Linked DNA regions of Arabidopsis thaliana. The protein of the gene in region 1 interacts with the protein of each later gene in a pairwise test. Each region holds a gene or a part of one and is shown on either strand. Other genes may lie near its edges. The genes, in order: AT1G11490, CIA2, AT4G01460 and GATA7.

Region 1 (3,941 bases):
CCACATCGAATTATCACTACTAATTGCAATCATGAGTTTTCCCATACCCAATCCGCAAGGTTCAGCGTCGAGATGACAAGCACCCAACACTAGGGCGTCTCTGAGTATAATTGTAGTGATCTCACATCAGCAAAACATCATCAAAAAAAAAAAAAAAGAACAAAGTGTGATTGGGGAGAGAAGAGAATAGTATCTTACAAACAGAGGTTTCCGGAGGGAGAACACTGAAGGCCGGCTCAGAAGCAGAGGAGACATGAGTGTTCTTAGCGAAGAGCTAGTCAAAGAAACCCTAATTGAAGAAAATGGTAGCACTAACAGTTACAGTCTTCTTCACCCTTTAAATATAGAGGCTGGGCATAGACTTGTCCAGCAAGTTTTCCATCTTTCAATTTTGGGGAAAGCCCAACATTTTTAACCTATTACAGGCCCACCAAATTTTGCAAGAAAAAAGAAGATGAGAAAACTATACAAAAACCTAAAGAATAAATTTTGCATATACGGGCTTGTTTCATGGCTTGAAGATTATCACAAAGCAAGGTAACAAAGCTTTTGTACTCAACAGGTAAAGCTCTTCAATTCTTGAATTTTGTCCAACTTTCAAAGCTAGTGAATCAAACTCAGAAAACCCTAAAGAATTTTCAAACGTCTGCATAGGTTTATGAACCCTCCCTGCAATCACTCTACATAGCACAACAGCTATCAATGAACCTCTATTTCTTCCTTGATCGGTTTCGATAGATTCAAGAGCTGTAGAGCTAGTTGATGCTGTGAGAACTCCTTTTATCCCATCTGGTCTTGTTTTAGGACTGAAACCATGTCTTAGAATATGACAAACTTCACAGTGATCCGAGAAACAGAGGTTTGAAGAGCTGTTACTGAAACCGAGAGTGCAAGAAAGAGTTGTACCGTGGAACCCAAGAAACTCGTTGCCATCAGCCATACAACGAGAGTGCTTCTTTGAAAGCTTGTTTGCTCTTATTTTCACGAGCTCTCTGTAATCTTCAAAGTCTGCAACAACTCTCTGCAAGTTCTGGATTTTAAAGATCGCTGAAATGTTGTTCCCTTTCATTTTGCCTAGCTTGTGAGAATAGCCTGTGTTGCAGATTAGTTCCACAGTTGTTCTTGAGAAATCTCCTGCTAAGAGTCTAACGACTGCAAAAAAGAAAAAACAAATCAAATTCTCCTCACAACATTGGCTAAAAGTCAATGAAAAAGTTCATCTAATTCAAGTCTTACCAGAGTGGTTAGAGAGGTAATGTGCTTCAAACGCGTCAAGATCTCTGACTCTCTCATGACATTTTTGACAAGCAAGAACTCCGAAACCGCAGATGTCAGAGCCAACAACATCAAATCTCTCTGAACAACGACCGGGAAGTAAATCAGAAGAAGATGCTCCGCTAAGCAAACCTTTGAATCTGTCTGAATAACCTGCATTCTCCTCAAATTTCACTGTGTTTACAAACCTGGAGCTCTCAAGAGACCGTGAGCTGCAGCAGCTTACATTCTGCATAGCTCCTTCATCTCCATTAGTTACAAAGACATCTCTCAGATTCGACATTGATCTTCTTGAGCATCCAGATGGATTCTCCTTCTTCTGAATTTGGATCTTGTCTGGATCACAAGCTACAGTTGACTTCTGTGCCTTGCAGCAGCTAAGAGACTTCTTGAGATAAAGCCAAACCCCACGCATGTTTGTTCAAGATCCGTCTTTGGATTCACTGGGAGAGATGTGAATTATAAAGATATTCTATGAAGATTTGGCTTTGATTCGGACACAGCTCTGTTTCTGTTTGTTCCTGCTTCACCATATCTACACAAACTGTTTCCAAAATGAGACTGAAGATTTCCATAAACGTATGATATCATGTCACACCATGAAAGAACAAACTAAAAAATCTTTTTTAGAAATAGAAAATTACAACTAAAATTTGACGTTTATGTTAAAAAAAAATGATCAAATCTTAACCCTGTATGATTCTTTTCCAATTACAACCTGGAAAATTATAATAATTTTTAGCATAATATGATTACAGAAAGAAAAAAAGATATGGGAATAATAATTTTCACCTCTCTTCACGTTCCAAAACAGAGTATAACGCCACATGCTGCCTCTATTGAGCTTTGACATTTTTAAAGTAAAAAAGTCAAACATGTGATCAACCTCTTAATTCAATATGAAATTATATCTTTGTAGTAGAATTATTTACTACTATATCCAGTTTACAAGAAAAGCATCCAAACTAATGTCATTATATAGAAAAGGAATGAAACTTTACTTACTTGGAAAGACCAAAACCGAATCTGTATTCTTTTGTCTTGCAGTGAGAGGCAAGCTTAGGAAAGTAATCTGATGCTGTTTCCTTATTATTTTCCTCTTCCTTAAACTTTCATAGAACAATTGAAATAAATACAGTAATCAAATAAAAATATAAGGTTTTTATTATGAATCAAGGAAAAATGGAAAGTGAACTTGGGTTCTTGGTTTCTGTTGTGATCATATGTGCAGACATTACAGCTACAGTCCTCGGGATCGAAGCCGAGATTGCTCAAAGCAAGGTTCTGTTTTATATTAAGAGTGAAATGTAGTTTATTTTATTTTAACTACCAATAATCTTTTCTTGTATTTGATGTTTATCCTTCAGGCACCTCATCATCATCATCAACAACATTCAAGACATTCAGGTTCTGGATGTCGAAGAAGCCCCAGCGATGGAGCATTTGCTGAGGGAGTAGCTGCAATGGTGCTTCTGTTTATTGTCCATGTCCTAGCTAATGTGCTTGGAGGCTGCACTTACATTCGCTCTAAGCAAGATTTCAAAAGAGCAACGGCGAACAAGATACTCGCTGTGGCTTTCCTTGTTCTCTCCTGGTAATGGAAAAGATAATAGGTTTTTGGATTTCATTCAAAAGACAAATTTGAATTATGTCAGCTGTTTTTGTTTTTGACATACCTTTGTTTGTCTTAGGATCTTTTTTGTTGTCAGCTACTCAACGCTAATGATAGGAACATTAGCCAACTCGAGAACGAATCGACTCTGCAGCTTGCCACATCGTTGGTTTTTTCTTATTGGAGGCATATTTTGTCTAGGACATGGAGTGGTGACTTCAGCATATTATGTTTCAGCAATTGCTGCTAAAAAAGAAGACAAAGAGAATGCGCAACAAGAAAATCTAGCAAATAGAAGCCGCGCATAACACGTCTTCTTCATCAAGATACACAAAATGTTTCATCTGTAAATAAACTTAAATTGCTTCAAAAAAGCTTCCTTCCATTTTGATAAATCCGCAATATTCCAAAATAAACTCTTTCAAGAATCAATAGAAAACTAAAATATAATATAAAAAAGCCAAGAGTTCTAAACAAAAGAGGCAGAACCAAAAAAACAAAAACCATAAATATATCTAAGCGTTTGATCCAAATGCTTCAGATATCTTTGATAGCACTTCAAAAAGAAAACCATGCTTCTGCAAAAAGAACTCAAATTCCCTAGCCTGCATCGCTTTCCACTGCTCGTAAAATCTCTTCATATCCTTTGAGGCAAGCTTACTCAATCCTTGTTGAGCAGTAAGTTCATCCATGCCAAGACCCACTATCGATCTAACAAGAGAAGACTTTGTAAAAGAGACTTCTCCTTCATCCATCACCTCATCTTCACAGTTGTTTTTACTGTTGGGCAAAGAAGAATCAAGTTCATGCTTCACAGACTCAAACTTACTACTCTTCTTCGACTTCTCATTAGATTTCATACCAGATGCAAGAGCCATTCTAATACCTCCCCAAACTAACTTAGACAATTCAAAAGCCTTGCGATCATGAGGTTTGACGAAAGTAGGTTCAACACCATCCTTGGCTTTACCAAGATTGTTCTCATACTTCTTCTTTAAAGCCCTAAGCTTTTCCATAAGCTGATTCTTACTAACATCAAAACTAATAGATTTTT
Region 2 (5,759 bases), on another chromosome or scaffold:
CTACATTGATCTGAAAATCTTTGCCACTGAACTGATTACCAGAGACCAATTTGGTTTGATTTGATTTTCCTCTTGTTTCGTGCATAATAACTCTGTATATAAACCAAACGATATCTCTTGTATCATGTATACAAGTAATGAGCTCAACACATTCCTTGTGCAGAGAGTTCTGTTTTTGCCATTCCGTCAAGCCTTGTAAAATAACACTCGATTCTTGGTCAAAGATAAAATGGTATCTAGAAGAAGCTACCATTCAAAAATCATATAACACGTCCTAGAAGCTATTTTTGCCCTTAATTCAATATGCTTTTTCTCTATAATGTTTTTATTGGGAAAGGAAATTTGGCTCGGCAAAAACAGATATTGAGAGGTATCAATGATTTGTCACCGGTTTTGATGACTCAAAGAAGCAATGGGCAACGAAACAACAGGTGTACAAGGCTGCAACATAGTTTGAGCCATTGGGATTGGTGAATAATCCATGTCTTGTTTTTTGCTACTGTTGTTGTTGAGCCAAGTCTCTGACTTGCTTCTTGAGTCATTAAAATCTCAAGAGCTCTGTTTCTTCTATTAATAACAAAAACTTTTATTAGTTTTGATCCCTCACTTTCTCAATCAAATCTCCCCCTCATCAAAAAATCTAAATTATAAACCAAAAGGGACCATAACTTAAAAGAAACAAAAAAGGAGGGTGCCAAAATTTTAGAAACAAAAATAAAACAAGGAATAAACAAAAGATAAAAAAAAAAAGATAAGATAAATCTAGGCTCTTTTATCCTTGTTATCTTTGTCCACTTGGAGTGCTCTCATTGGGCCTTCTCACGAATCGTCCCTGTTCCCACATCCCATCACCAACCACAAAAAGAAAAGAAAACATTAATATTAGGTTCTTGTCTTAATCAAATCTAATGTATATATCCCTAGCCCTTGACCTCAATCTAACGTTATTAGTTAGTTTTGTTTCCTTTAGATGACAATTCTTAATATATTTAACCTTTGGTTTGGTTTTAAATCTTTTTGTTTGGCTTGTGGTACGTAGTTTCCTTTACTTGTTCGGTTTGGTTCATTTGGAATAAAGATACCCAAAAGAAAGCTTATTTCATCTTCTTGAAGAAAAAAAACGAATAGAAAAACTCAACAAGAGTTTTCTCATCTACTTTAAATCTGAAAACTAAAGCTAGTCTTATTATGCTGATTCAAAACAAATTTTGAAGGATGGTAAAAAAAACCTACATGTTTTTAACCACTGACTAAGATGGGTTAGATACCTTCATTCGAGGACGTTGATCAGCATTGAGTTTGCGAACTTGGTATCGAATTTTCTTCGAAAAAAGACGAGTTCGACGTTTCTCTTTGTACCTCAAAACACTTGCTTCTCGCATTCCACTGTCTCCGAACAAATCAATCTGAGCTAATCTAGCCTGCCCCAAAACACACACGCCACATTAGTTCATGTTCAACATTATTAATAACACAAAATACTAATCAATTGACAAAAATGAATTTCTAGTTAACTTATTTTGTAGACTACTAGACTTTATGCTAAAAGGAGTATTCGACGAAACGGATATCTACAAAATAAATTTTGAACCTCCTCATTTATCCTATACGTGAAAATTCACGTGCACAGTCTATAAAGTTTTCATTGGACAAATAAAAAGCAGCTTTTTTTTTTCTTAATTGATTGAAAGTCATCACAGAAAAAAATGTTATTTATAATAAAAAGAAGACTATGTACCAAAGTCAAAGGGTTAATAATTATTCTTCAAAATACGTTACAGGAAAAATTATTAATAAGAACTTTCCACAAAATTTAATAAATTCTTGTCAGATACTTCAAACTATATCATAGCTAATAAATTACTAATTCAGCATTAATGAGAACACACTCCTCAACAGCCACGTGGCAGAATACTAATGGCCAAAACAGAATCCCGAATAATTAATTATTTCAAACTAACCATTAACTAAAGAAAAATAAACATAGAAAATATCGAATTTTAACGGCGAGGGATTTGAGATTAAGAAGAGATTAGTGTTAAACATACATTGACATCGACAGCTTCCGATCCCTGAATCTCGTCGGGAAACGGCGACGTTTTATCAGACCAAGCTTCCAAAACGCCGTCGTAATCAAGCTTCAACAACGGACCTGTTCTCTTCAAACTCGTCTCCTCCGTATCTTCCAAGCTTTTCGATTCCGTAATCAATGTCGTCGTCACCGTCATTTTCTTCTTCTTCTTCTTCTTATTACTCTTCTCTCCAGAGATTACCACCTTCTTACCGTCGGATTTCTCCTCATCAACGGTGGAGATTGCAGTTTCGGTTTTGACAGTTTGAATTCGCGGCGAGATCTGTTCGAAATCAACGGTATGAATCTTCCACAATTTTGTGTCGTCGTTTTCTCTGAGAGCACTTCGTAATCCAAGCCCTAACGGGAAATTGAATCCGTTAGAGCTTCGATTCCATGAATTGATCATCATCATCTGTTCTAGTTTACCAATCCGATTAGAAGAACTTCTTCCACCGCGATTGATCATTCCCGGAACCCTAGATTCATAAATCCCCGAATTTGAATTCGATTCCACCACAGTCCCCATTATACTATCGATTCCTTCTTCAATATCCTCATCGAGAATCGATTCAGCATCGAATTCGTCGGAGAAATCAAACTTTTCGATTTCACCACCGTAGCAATCTCCACCGGAGTTAACTTCCTTCTGGTCTGAGAAAAACTCTGTTTTCGTTTGAATCGTTGGATGAAACAGAAAATCAGGTTCTTCGATTGATTCATAAGGAAGAAGCAAATCAGAAGCGTCGTCGTTGTCACTAAGCAATGGCCCGTAGAAGTGAGAGTTTGATGAAGAGTGAGTTTTTTGCTTAGAGGACAAGTTTGAGGAGAAGATGTTGGGATAAGCAGTAGAGAGAAGAGTAGCTGCTTCGTTGTAAGTCTGGTTTGGTCTTTTGCGTTGTGTTCTTGGCTTTCTCGTTGAGATTGCGAGTGGTGAATTTGATGATTCGGAGATTGTTGATGATGGTGAAGTAGCTCTTGTTGTTGTTGTTGAGGATGATGGTGGTGGTGATTTCACTTTTTCTAACTCGAAACTATATGCTGCTGCTCCTCCTCCTCCGCTGCTTAAACACGCCGACATTTTTTTTGTCCGGTGAAATCGGAAAAGAAACAAGACCAAAACTTTGAAGATTGTAAGAACTTTTGTGAGTGAGAAGAGAGTGATGAAATTAAGATTTTTGCCTTTTGATTAAAGAATTGTGTTTAATTTTAAGATAATAATAAACCCTTAAAACCCACTGAAGAAACCTTTTTTTATTTGGTGAGAAAATACAAAATTGAAGGGGGAAAAAAAGATCAAAACTTTAGGGAAAGAGGAAGATTCTGCTAACAAATGTTCATCATTTGAAAGAAAGAGCTAAGAAAACCCATTTGGAATCTGAGATTTATGTGTATGAAAACCAAAAGAATTGGCCAACGAGTGAGGTTTTACAGAAAGAAGCTAATTGGTTTGTGAAGAGGGAGAGAGAGATTGGAGGAGAAAGAAGAGTCACGAGATATATAAGAGGAGAAAGATTAGGGTTTTAGTGAGAGCTTAGTAACAAACAAAGGAGAGTTTAGTAAATAAATAGTGAAGAGCGTTTTTTTTTTTTTTGGTTTAGGGGTAATTTTAACTTTGAGAAGAGAAGTTGTGGAGAAACAGAGAGAGTGGTGGGAAGAAGAAGACGAGAGAGAGAGAGAGAGAGTGAGCGAATGGTGAAGAAGGGACAAGATAGCTCGTAATCGGCAATTCTGGAATGAATGGGGTCCACCAGTGGATTTTTTCACTTTTTGTATTGATTTAAAATTACTTTGTAAAACGAGTTTTCTTATGGATAGAGATACTTCCACGACTAAAGATTTCTATTCCATTTCAGAAATAGCCATTCAAAAGGTTTATAAGGTAAATTTTGTTACTGAAAACTCTTGGCTAATCTACAATGACTGGTGTTTGAATCAAAGTAAATTTCTCTATTTATTTTTTTGTTATAATGTTAATTAAGAAAAAAAGCTTTAAACAATGTTTGAGAGTTATTGAGAAATGATTTGGAGATTGAAAACAAAATAATGAAAAATCAATTGTTAAACCTATAATAAAGCGATATGATTGTGGCAACGATCGGTCATAATACGATTGAATTAAATTTGTTATGTGTTGATTTAACAAATTTATTTGTTCATTAACATTTACTCAAAATATAAAATATTAATTTTGTGACGATTTGGTAATAATGTAATGTAGCGACGATCGTTCATTCTTAAAGTTAAATTTTTATGTATTACATTAATATAACGACAGTAAGTCATTAATTCAAATTGAGTAAATCTTTTATGTATTGATTTATTGATATTATCCACTTGTTACACAATAATTTTTACCCAAAAATTTAAGATATTATTTTGCATATCGATCTTGTGGTGAGTAAGTAATATAACAGCGATCAGTCATTAATTTGAAAGGGGGATAAATATTTTGAGTGTGATTTATCGAAATTACTCATGATTGAAAAATATTAATCACATCATCGATTAAGTGGTAAGTAATGATGTAGCGCCGATCAATTGTCTAATCCAGCCTGTGGCAGTATTATATTAGTTGAGGTTGAGGATTTTTCTTCTTAGTTGATACCAAAAATCGAGTTCTACCATTCACAATATTTAATTTCAGCTCTTTAAACTAGTATAGAGTTAAACAAATTTATCCACTATTAGTTTTAGTTTCAATTTAGAGTCACCATATATTAGTTTAATTTTTGTTTCTATTAATTGCAGGTCCGGCTCTACACATGTGCCGGAGGAGCGAGGCACAGAGTCAACCCAAAATTTCTCTTTTTTTTGAAGTAAATCTAATACAATTACGATCCAAAAAAAAGATTTACATAACAAAACATAGGAAATGAGAACTAATTTTTTTTTCAGCTCTGGGTCCTTTATTATTTTGAGCCGACCCTGATTAATTGTAGCTAGAAGTGAAGCCATATATTGGTTTATATTTTAGTTTATGATATCTAGATTTTAAATAGAATTCGAAGTTATATTTTTTTACAGGTTTTGTAGAAGATTTTATTTAAAATTTGATATATATTTTTGATAATAGTAATAGTTTTAATAAGATTTCTCAGTTTTAATTTATTGATTTGGTTGTGATATCCGATTTCTGTTCTTCTTGAATAAAGTTTAACCAAGAAAAGATGCTCAAGAGTTTAATCCAGGTTGTTTAGTGAGTAATAGTCATTAATGATCCTTTTTGACTGGAGGGAAATGTGATTCTGTTTTTGGATTATTTTCTAAAAAGATGTAAAAACCACATCATCATCATCCAAATCTGCAAAATCTTTTTGGGATCTTAAAGAGAAAACGAGGAAAGGTCACCTTATCCATTGACGTGGCACATACCCATTGGCTCTACTAGATTTCTTTGATGACGTGGTGCTTTCTCAATTAACTGATTATGGTCGCCTGGTCGGAGACGTTTTCACGTGTTCTTAAAAAACCGACTTTATTATTTTACTAATTTCCCTTTATTAGTAAGATTTTTTTTTTTTTTCAAATTTACTAATTTAGCATATTTGGGAAAAAAATATTAGCATAAATTGATACTTTCTTATCTATATTTTAGATAATTTTTTGGATATATATATAGACATGATAATTGAAAATTTATTTCTTTCATTGACTTACTTTTTCAAGGTTAGTTTTATGTTAAACT
Region 3 (4,577 bases), on another chromosome or scaffold:
CTAGTACCGTATCTTCGGTTATATGGATGGTACATAGAACTATAAATTGTAAAATCATATTCTACATACTTACTTTGACGATAAATAAGTGCTATTTCGGGTCTAATGTTACACGTAGGGAACTACCTAAGAAAATGTGGTTCGCGTGTCTAATGCAAACTGATTTCCATTCGAACCTATAATGGCTGAAGAAATAGCTATCCACATATGATATGTTGATAATGATATATATTATAGATATTCTTGTGTTTAGCTAAGTAATATATAAAAATTTACTCCACTTTTTTCTCAATTGGTATGTGACATGCTCTTATTGGGTGGATAATGTACTAGACAAAACTTGTAATTTTTTTTTTCTTTATCTATAATAATATAAAAACATTTTGTGTGTTATATTTTCATACATCTATTTTCCTTTCTTCATAATTCGTTTGGCCTATTTTTCAAATGTAGTCTATTCAATTTTATTAGGTTGCATGTGAGTTTTGGACTCACTTATGCATGGTACAAAATCCAAGTTCTTAAAAGACTTTGAGGTAGAATAAAAATCTGTAGTTTGGGAGAAGGAAACAAAAATAAAAAGGTAAATTTCTTTTGGGGGAGAGTACTGTTGTTTGCCCTACAGACCAAGGCACTGAAATCGAGTTGGTATTATTAGGATACTTAACGTTTGGCACCCATGGCCTTGGCCTTGGCCATGTGCATTGTTCGTCCTCTTCTTAAAGGGTACTATTGTCATTCTTAATTTTTATAGCACTAAGTCAACACACCATATTGGGAAATACTTAAAGACCCATAATGTACTTGTTCTAGCTCGATTAAAAGAGAAAAAACAAAGTAAATGAAAAGTTGAAGTAAAAGACATGAAAACCCTTTTTGGATTGGAGAAAACTAATTCTCTAAAGATAGAAAAGAAAAAGAGGAAGAAGCAAGAGAGGCTTGGTCTTCTTTTCTGATCCTGAAACTGTCTTAATAAGAGTGAGAAGTACTGTTCATGGAAGACGTGTCCCCACCAAACAAAACTGTCTTCACTGCCCTCTTCAATAATACTTTTACGGGACCCCTCCTAGTCCCAACGCACAATCTCATTGTGTCTATACAGAGTTATATTATATATATACACTTAATTTCTAATAGTTGTAGCAAAACATATGGTAAGAAAATGAAATAAATACGGTTAATATATTATTATTTTTTGGTCAAAACGGTTAATATATATGTAACACCAATGAAGCCAACATATCCAAACACAGAAGAAGATTTTTGGATGATGATTTAAACATGTATATATGTTAGTGTGAATCTTCAAAGTTTCTGTTTAAGTAGAATTATTTTTATAGATAAAGTATTTTATATGTTTTTTGGTCGAGCCAAATATCGAATTCCTTCATCAAAGTCTATCGAATTCCTTATATTTACCAAAGTAAAATTCGTTAAGAACAAAAATCAAAGAGTATTGTCCCGAAAGAAAATTATTTTGAAGGCCCAAAGAGGACAAGGTCATAAATATTTGATCTGGAGGACAGGACACCCACGTATATTTTTGTCCAAAATTTAGGTTAAAAAAAGAAGAAGAAAGGTTATCTGTTTCACGGATTAAATATTTAATTAATAATACATACATATATTACTGTATGTGTGCGTGTAAAATACTAAATATCGACGACTATATATATAACTAGATAATTTAGCTATAGTATAGTATTTTTATTTTTCACCCTTGGTTTTTTTATACATATATGCACCGAACCTCTTCTTCTTCTCTTCCTCGTCTTCTCTCCTTTTATATATGTGGAAAACTGCATTTATTAAGAACAGTTTAGAAAGTGTCAACCCCTAAAGGAATGTTTTTAGTTTAGAGGAAAGAGAGAGAAGAAGAAGCAGCAGCAGAAGTTGTTAATTTGAAGACTATTTGAGGAAAGACACCTATATCTAAATACTCAAAGTTACAAAAATATTACTTCAGAAAACAGTTCCATTAGAGAGACTCATAAAGCTTCTCATGTAAGCCTCTCTTGTAATTTATTCTCATATACAGAATACTGTTTTGTGCATTTACTCTTCTTCTTCCTCCTCCTTTCATATGATTAACATTCAATGCAAAATTCTTGTAAATTCATTTTACAATAGCTTATCCAAATTCTGCTACTTTTATTATTGTTTCCTCTCGCTGCGACATTCTTTATTTCTCATCATTTAATGTTCTCTCCTCGTACATCCTCTTTGTTCTGTCTTAAGAATTCACCTACCAAACCATTTATTTCTCATACCCACTTTAAGATTTAGTAGATTTTTGTTTTCTTGTCAAAATGGTATCCTAAAACTAATCTCTCTTGTTTTTTTCTTTGTTGAAGCTAATTATGAGTGGATTGATGAGTTTTGGTGAATTAGAAGACCAATTTGGTCAGATTTCAGACACTACTATGGAAGAGAAGATACCATTTCTGCAAATGCTTCAATGCATAGAACACCCTTTTACAACAACAGAACCAAATCAGTTTCTCCAATCACTTCTCCAGATCCAAACCCTAGAATCAAAGAGCTGTCTCACCCTTGAAACAAACATCAAAAGAGATCCGGGTCAAACAGATGACCCGGAAAAGGATCCAAGAACAGAAAACGGAGCAGTAACGGTCAAAGAAAAAAGAAAACGGAAACGTACAAGAGCTCCAAAGAACAAAGACGAAGTTGAAAACCAAAGGATGACTCACATTGCCGTCGAACGTAATCGAAGACGACAAATGAACGAACACTTAAACTCTCTCCGATCTCTCATGCCTCCTTCGTTTCTTCAACGGGTAACAAAATGTTTTAAGGGTTCATTAAACAAGAACGTAATTTTTTTTTCTTTTCAAGAACGTAATTTAGCTTTAACAAGAAAACGTTTTTGTTTCTCTAGGGTGACCAAGCTTCGATTGTAGGAGGGGCAATAGATTTCATCAAGGAACTAGAGCAACTCTTGCAATCTCTAGAAGCTGAGAAACGAAAGGATGGAACTGATGAAACTCCTAAAACGGCGTCGTGTTCTTCATCTTCGTCTCTTGCATGCACTAACTCTTCTATTTCTAGCGTGTCTACGACGTCGGAAAATGGATTTACGGCGAGATTCGGCGGTGGAGATACGACAGAAGTGGAGGCTACGGTGATACAGAACCATGTGAGCTTAAAAGTTCGGTGTAAGAGAGGAAAACGACAGATCTTAAAAGCTATTGTCTCGATTGAAGAACTAAAGCTTGCGATTCTACATCTCACTATCTCTTCTTCCTTTGACTTTGTCATCTACTCTTTCAATCTCAAGGTAATTTTCTTAATCATCTCTTAAACTATCAGTTTCAATTTCCACTAGTTTAAGCATTATTATAAATAGTCTTATGTAACTAGCAATTTTTGACTTTTTGAGGAAAATTAAGGAATCTTCATTTTGAAATGTTTGGTACTTAAGAAAATTAAAATGCATGAGAAACCATAATAGAAAATATCTACAATTATGTGTGTGTGTGTGTATTTTTTTCCTTCACTCTAAGCTTAGAAAATTTTAGTTTAATTTTTTAGTAAGTTGCTAATTTTTGTTTAGTTTTGGAGAGATGAGAAATGAATGGTGTTGTGCATGCAGATGGAAGATGGTTGTAAATTAGGATCAGCAGATGAGATAGCGACAGCCGTTCATCAGATCTTCGAGCAAATCAACGGTGAAGTCATGTGGTCAAATCTTAGTCGAACTTAGTTGACTTTTGACTCCTAGTAACGTGTGTAAACTTTAGGTTACAAAGAAAAGGGACGTGATATAAATAAGAAAAACCAAAGAGGTGAAATTTTGGGAGTTTTAATTATTATCTTATACTTTTTGGATTTTAGATTAGTAGCAAACTCGCAGTGTTCTACGATGACATTATTATTGGTCACATGAAGGTTTAGGTTATTATTGCCTGTAATTTTTGAATATAAACTAACCTATGAGTTCAGTTTGACCCCGAAAACGAAAAAAGTTAACCATGAGTAATATTTACTTCCATTTATAAATGTTTCCCACTTAGTAATAATGTTAAGAAATTGACTTTAGACGTCCGTATTAGAATGGTTACGGAAATGGAAACAAATACAATTAAAGATGAAACATCATTATTACTAAGAAGAAGTCGCCTTCACACTTCGCAACCTCTTTTTATATTTTGCATATACGTTTTATTAATACTCTCATATCGTCCATGCGTCTGACAAATCTACGCTTGATAAAAAAGGTACAGCTACAACATAAATTTAAAGGTATTCTTTTGCATCAACGTCTACTGACTAAAAATACTTGTTTATTGTATAATGACTCTAGTTTTACTTTTAACAACGAAGAGAAAGGTGGCAGAATTTTTTTAATATTCCAATGGTAAAAAAGCATCGTAAAAGGAAGCCTATGGTCAGAGTCTCATTGACACATCGGTCTCGCTTGTAATACGTAAAACTCAGCCTATCTCACTCACATTACTTTTTTCGAAATTTTAATTCATATATCGGTTTCCGCATATATTTAACTTTTGTATTCAAAGCTTATTAAAAAATCGGGAAAAATCTAAACATCATAAGCA
Region 4 (3,797 bases), on another chromosome or scaffold:
AGGGTTTGCTTTAGTATTTTACATGTACAAAAAAAATAAAAAAAATGGAGTCACCAATATTTGTGTATGCAAACAGAAAGTATACCAGTTTGTATTCTTAAATATATAAACACTGTGTCAACTATCAATGATACAATAACATAATTTAGAAAATAACCAATGCATTGGTATTTGTAGCCGCACAAGTATTAGATCGATATGGATTGATTTTCAGTTTTTTTAACATAAGAGTGTGAATGAGGGGCTCGTACGTCGTAAATTTTTAGGGTTGTGTAATTGAAAAATTAAATTGATTTTTGGTCAAATTTTATCTTTTATCTTGTCTCAATGTTAACAACTTCTATACTGGTTTAATAAAAATATACAAAATTCTACTTTAACTTTAAGGGGCAACGACGATATTTTGAAAAAACAGTTATAAAGGCAAAATTTCAAAATAACGTTTTAACAACTTTTTTTTTTTTTGCATTAGCAGTTTTTTAAAAAAACTCTAAATGAAAAGAGTGTGAGCTAAGAGGAAGTAACAGTAGTTAATTATGGTTGTGGTCACAAAAATTTGGGTAACGGTTGGACTGTATTTAACAAAACTTTTAATGATCATGATTTCTAATCATGCATACTCTATCAAATAAAATTGTCTCTAATTATAGCTTAACTTCATGAATGTGAAAACAGTCTACGGATCTCTCTCTGATTCTCTGTTTACAAGATTACACAATGCACATGGCATTGATAAAATTTCAAGATAGAAAAAAATGGCTTAAACCCGAGCCGGATCCGCCACTTTCATGAGCCGTAGCTCCAACACTTTCCGGTGAGAGTTAGAGTGAATCTCGTTGGTGAATGTTGGGCTACAAGCGGGTCTATATTCGGGTAAAAGTCGACCCGACTTAAACCGGACCCCACAAGCATTACACAGTGTCTTCGCACCTAATGGACCCATTCTCCATTGAGGCGTCTTCTGGACTCCACAATGGCTGCAGCACCGCCTCAGCTGCTGCTGCTGGACTACGCCACCGTACGATGCATCCACCTTCTGTCTCCCTCTCTTCTTCCTTCTGGCAACAGCGGTGGATAGCAGAGGAGATGGAGACTCCATAGACCAGATACGGCCGTTGGTGCGGCGGCGTTTGCTTCTAGGTTTAACAGGAACGCACTGTCTCCGAACCTCCACCGACGCGACTGGATTCACCGGGAAATCACTCGAAATATACGATTCTGAGAAAGAATCCTCCACGAAGTTGGATAACCACTCTAAGTCCTCCAAATCACCAACCTTCACAAACAAAACAAAAATGAGATTAAAAACAGAGCAAAACAGAGCAAAAACAGGGTAGAGAGAAACAGAGTGTACAAAACAGGGGAGATAGAAACAGAGTGTGTAAGTGGGCTCACCGGAGCGTCGCCGGGAAAAGATAAGAGATCCTCTGGCGGTGAAAGACGGGTACTTTGGTCAGAAAAGCTCTTAAATTTCTCACGTTCTTGTTCGTCTTCTTTTCTTTGTGACGAAGACGACTCTAAAGAAGTGTCGGCGTTAGAGAGGTCGAGAAGATCGTCGACGGAAAAATCACCGAGAAATGCTTCTACACACTCCATTTTTGTCTCTAGCCGTATGAAAGCACTACAAGTATTTTAAATAAAGGAGGAGCGAAGCGAATCCATATTTGAAAAAGTTTGTTCGTGTTCCAATATATTTTACACAAATTTCATTCTTTCTTTTTCAAAATTTTAAATTCTTTACGTGTCTATCGAGTGAGAGAGACAGTGGAGAGTGGACAGCACTGATTGGGGTTTGTAAGCAAGAGTGGGTTTTAGGTTTTTGTGATTTTGGAAGACTTGTTTGGTATTTGTCTCGTTACAAATCTCGTAACAAATCATGCATTGCCATGTCAGCATTTCACATTGAAAAGGAAACCAAAAATACGTTTCCTTCGTAAGTAAAATGTTTTTTTTTTTTTTTTTTAAATGTTATCTGAACTTATCCGTAGAATTTTATTTAAAGATAACCGCTCTTTGTAGTCAATTCAATTTATTAGAGTTCTTAATGCCAAATTTTAAGTTCATAATATTAAAAGACAGCAAAGATTTCTTCATAATTTAGAACTATCATTTTTGACTTAACCATCGGCGCAGAGTTTGCAAGTCTTTTTAAGTTCTTTTACTATCAAAATAACTGAATAAAGTCATTCAGAACTAGTGGTATTCTAACGATCTAATGGCTCAACCTAATTAATCATGACCGTTGAAAGTGTTGTTGGGCCAAAAATATCGTCGGTTAATACAACTTTCCCTCTATATAAAGCTAGTTTCTTGCAAAATATGGTTTTTTTTTGTTAACATAAAAAAGAAACTAGTAGCACATATATATATATATATATATATATATATTTTTTTTTTTTTTTGTTGTATCAGTATTTCGAAGGTTTTACAGAAAAGAAGAAAAAAATTAACAATAATTCATACGTCGAGAGTAATGATTGGACTATCAGGCTTCTCGGGCCCACTCGACCGTCGGTGGAAGGCCCAATTTTACCAAAACAAACAAAAACGTTATTAGTAAGGGCCTATTATTTATTTCTTCTTTAATTTCAAGGAAAGAGTGACCATCATATGTTGAGCGCGTGAAAATATCGCTCATGGTTATATATTTGTTTTTTCTTTGAGATAATAATTTCCATTAGAAAAAGTCGGTTTCAAAGTTAGAAAAAAAACATCTAAACATTCACGTAAAGTTTACCAGGAGCAATGGAGCATAAACATATTCAAATTACACACATACCTAAATAGTAAATAATAATAAAATACATAGACTTGTATTTTTATTATAAATATAATGAACTACATTCCAAACAATTGGGTGTTTGGTCTAGTGGTATGATTCTCGCTTCGGGTGCGAGAGGTCCCGAGTTCGATTCTCGGAACACCCCTCTTTAAATTCTCTACTGCTACATCAATTTTTTTCCCCTCGGATTAAATTAACGCAAGAAAGTCGTAGACTGATGACATACAATATGGTGGTGGCTCACTAAACTGACTATATGCCTAATTAGCCCGATGGGCCACATGGGCTCAATGCAAGTCGGTAAAAGGTGGAATGTTATTGAATGCGATGTATGTTGGCAGAGGAGTAACCGTACAAATTAGACTATTTTATACCCATGAAATCATTATCGTTCGATAACATAAGATAGTAAACTTTCATGATCTCGTTCTCTATGCATCCATCTCTCATCTGTGTAGTGTAGCTTTTTTTTTCTTTTTTCCCCACAGTATTTATCTCGTAAACTATACTTTCATATAGTCATATATGTGATATGAACATTGACACTGTACGTAACTTATATGATGATTAAGTTTACATGAAAACCATTCAAGTTTTTTTAAAAGCGTAAATACAAAATTACTTCATGAAATTTACGTTTATAATTTAAAATGAACTTCGATTTAAGTTATTTGCATTCAGAGAAAATAGAAATTAATTAAATGTAGCAACGATGTAAGTGATAGCCATAAAAATATCACATTCTTTGTATATCGGAAATTTGGTTGAGCTTTTAAGTCTTGAACCCTCGGATAAAAAAAAATGTACACTTGAAACCAATATAGCATTGCTCCATAAATATCAATATCTTAGACCCAAAAAACGATATTGTTATTCCATATCGGATTTTAGTCATTTCGACTATTTTCCCAACTATTTTTCCTACTGAAAGATTAATTACAGATCTACTATTGGCCCCAACATTTGGTTCACTAGACAACCTGTAATAATATAGTTCAAGTAGTACTATTCACGT

The links.
Region 2: the proteins of AT1G11490 (region 1) and CIA2 interact in a two-hybrid assay, tested with the Arabidopsis thaliana proteins (one large-scale study listed by BioGRID).
Region 3: the proteins of AT1G11490 (region 1) and AT4G01460 interact in a two-hybrid assay, tested with the Arabidopsis thaliana proteins (one large-scale study listed by BioGRID).
Region 4: the proteins of AT1G11490 (region 1) and GATA7 interact in a two-hybrid assay, tested with the Arabidopsis thaliana proteins (one large-scale study listed by BioGRID).

Annotation. Positions count from the first base shown.
Region 1 is NC_003070.9:3,868,376-3,872,316, forward strand, and holds AT1G11490 (zinc finger (C2H2 type) family protein), read right to left. Parts: upstream 2,151-3,941; 5' UTR 2,068-2,150; intron 1,934-2,067; exon of another isoform or gene 1,820-1,933; 5' UTR 1,691-1,819; coding exon 1,237-1,690; intron 1,153-1,236; coding exon 509-1,152; downstream 1-508. Other genes in the region: AT1G11500 (transmembrane protein, putative (DUF1218)), read left to right, coding at 2,443-2,556, 2,643-2,869, 2,967-3,195; AT1G11510 (DNA-binding storekeeper protein-related transcriptional regulator), read right to left, coding at 3,403-3,941.
Region 2 is NC_003076.8:23,165,786-23,171,544, reverse strand, and holds CIA2 (chloroplast import apparatus 2), read right to left. Parts: upstream 3,772-5,759; 5' UTR 3,153-3,771; coding exon 2,049-3,152; coding exon of another isoform or gene 2,022-2,048; exon of another isoform or gene 1,422-2,021; coding exon 1,269-1,421; coding exon of another isoform or gene 1,251-1,268; exon of another isoform or gene 833-1,250; coding exon 782-832; 3' UTR 520-781; downstream 1-519. Other genes in the region: PSD2 (phosphatidylserine decarboxylase 2), read left to right, coding at 1-14. UniProt on the Arabidopsis thaliana protein: Responsible for specific up-regulation of the translocon genes TOC33 and TOC75 in leaves. Involved in the general chloroplast protein import pathway regulation, including protein import and protein translation efficiencies.
Region 3 is NC_003075.7:618,974-623,550, forward strand, and holds AT4G01460 (basic helix-loop-helix (bHLH) DNA-binding superfamily protein), read left to right. Parts: upstream 1-1,717; 5' UTR 1,718-2,004; exon of another isoform or gene 2,005-2,354; 5' UTR 2,355-2,360; coding exon 2,361-2,798; intron 2,799-2,899; coding exon 2,900-3,298; intron 3,299-3,613; coding exon 3,614-3,724; 3' UTR 3,725-4,026; downstream 4,027-4,577.
Region 4 is NC_003075.7:17,146,616-17,150,412, forward strand, and holds GATA7 (GATA transcription factor 7), read right to left. Parts: upstream 1,882-3,797; 5' UTR 1,597-1,881; coding exon 1,396-1,596; intron 1,277-1,395; coding exon 761-1,276; 3' UTR 525-760; downstream 1-524. UniProt on the Arabidopsis thaliana protein: Transcriptional activator that specifically binds 5'-GATA-3' or 5'-GAT-3' motifs within gene promoters. May be involved in the regulation of some light-responsive genes.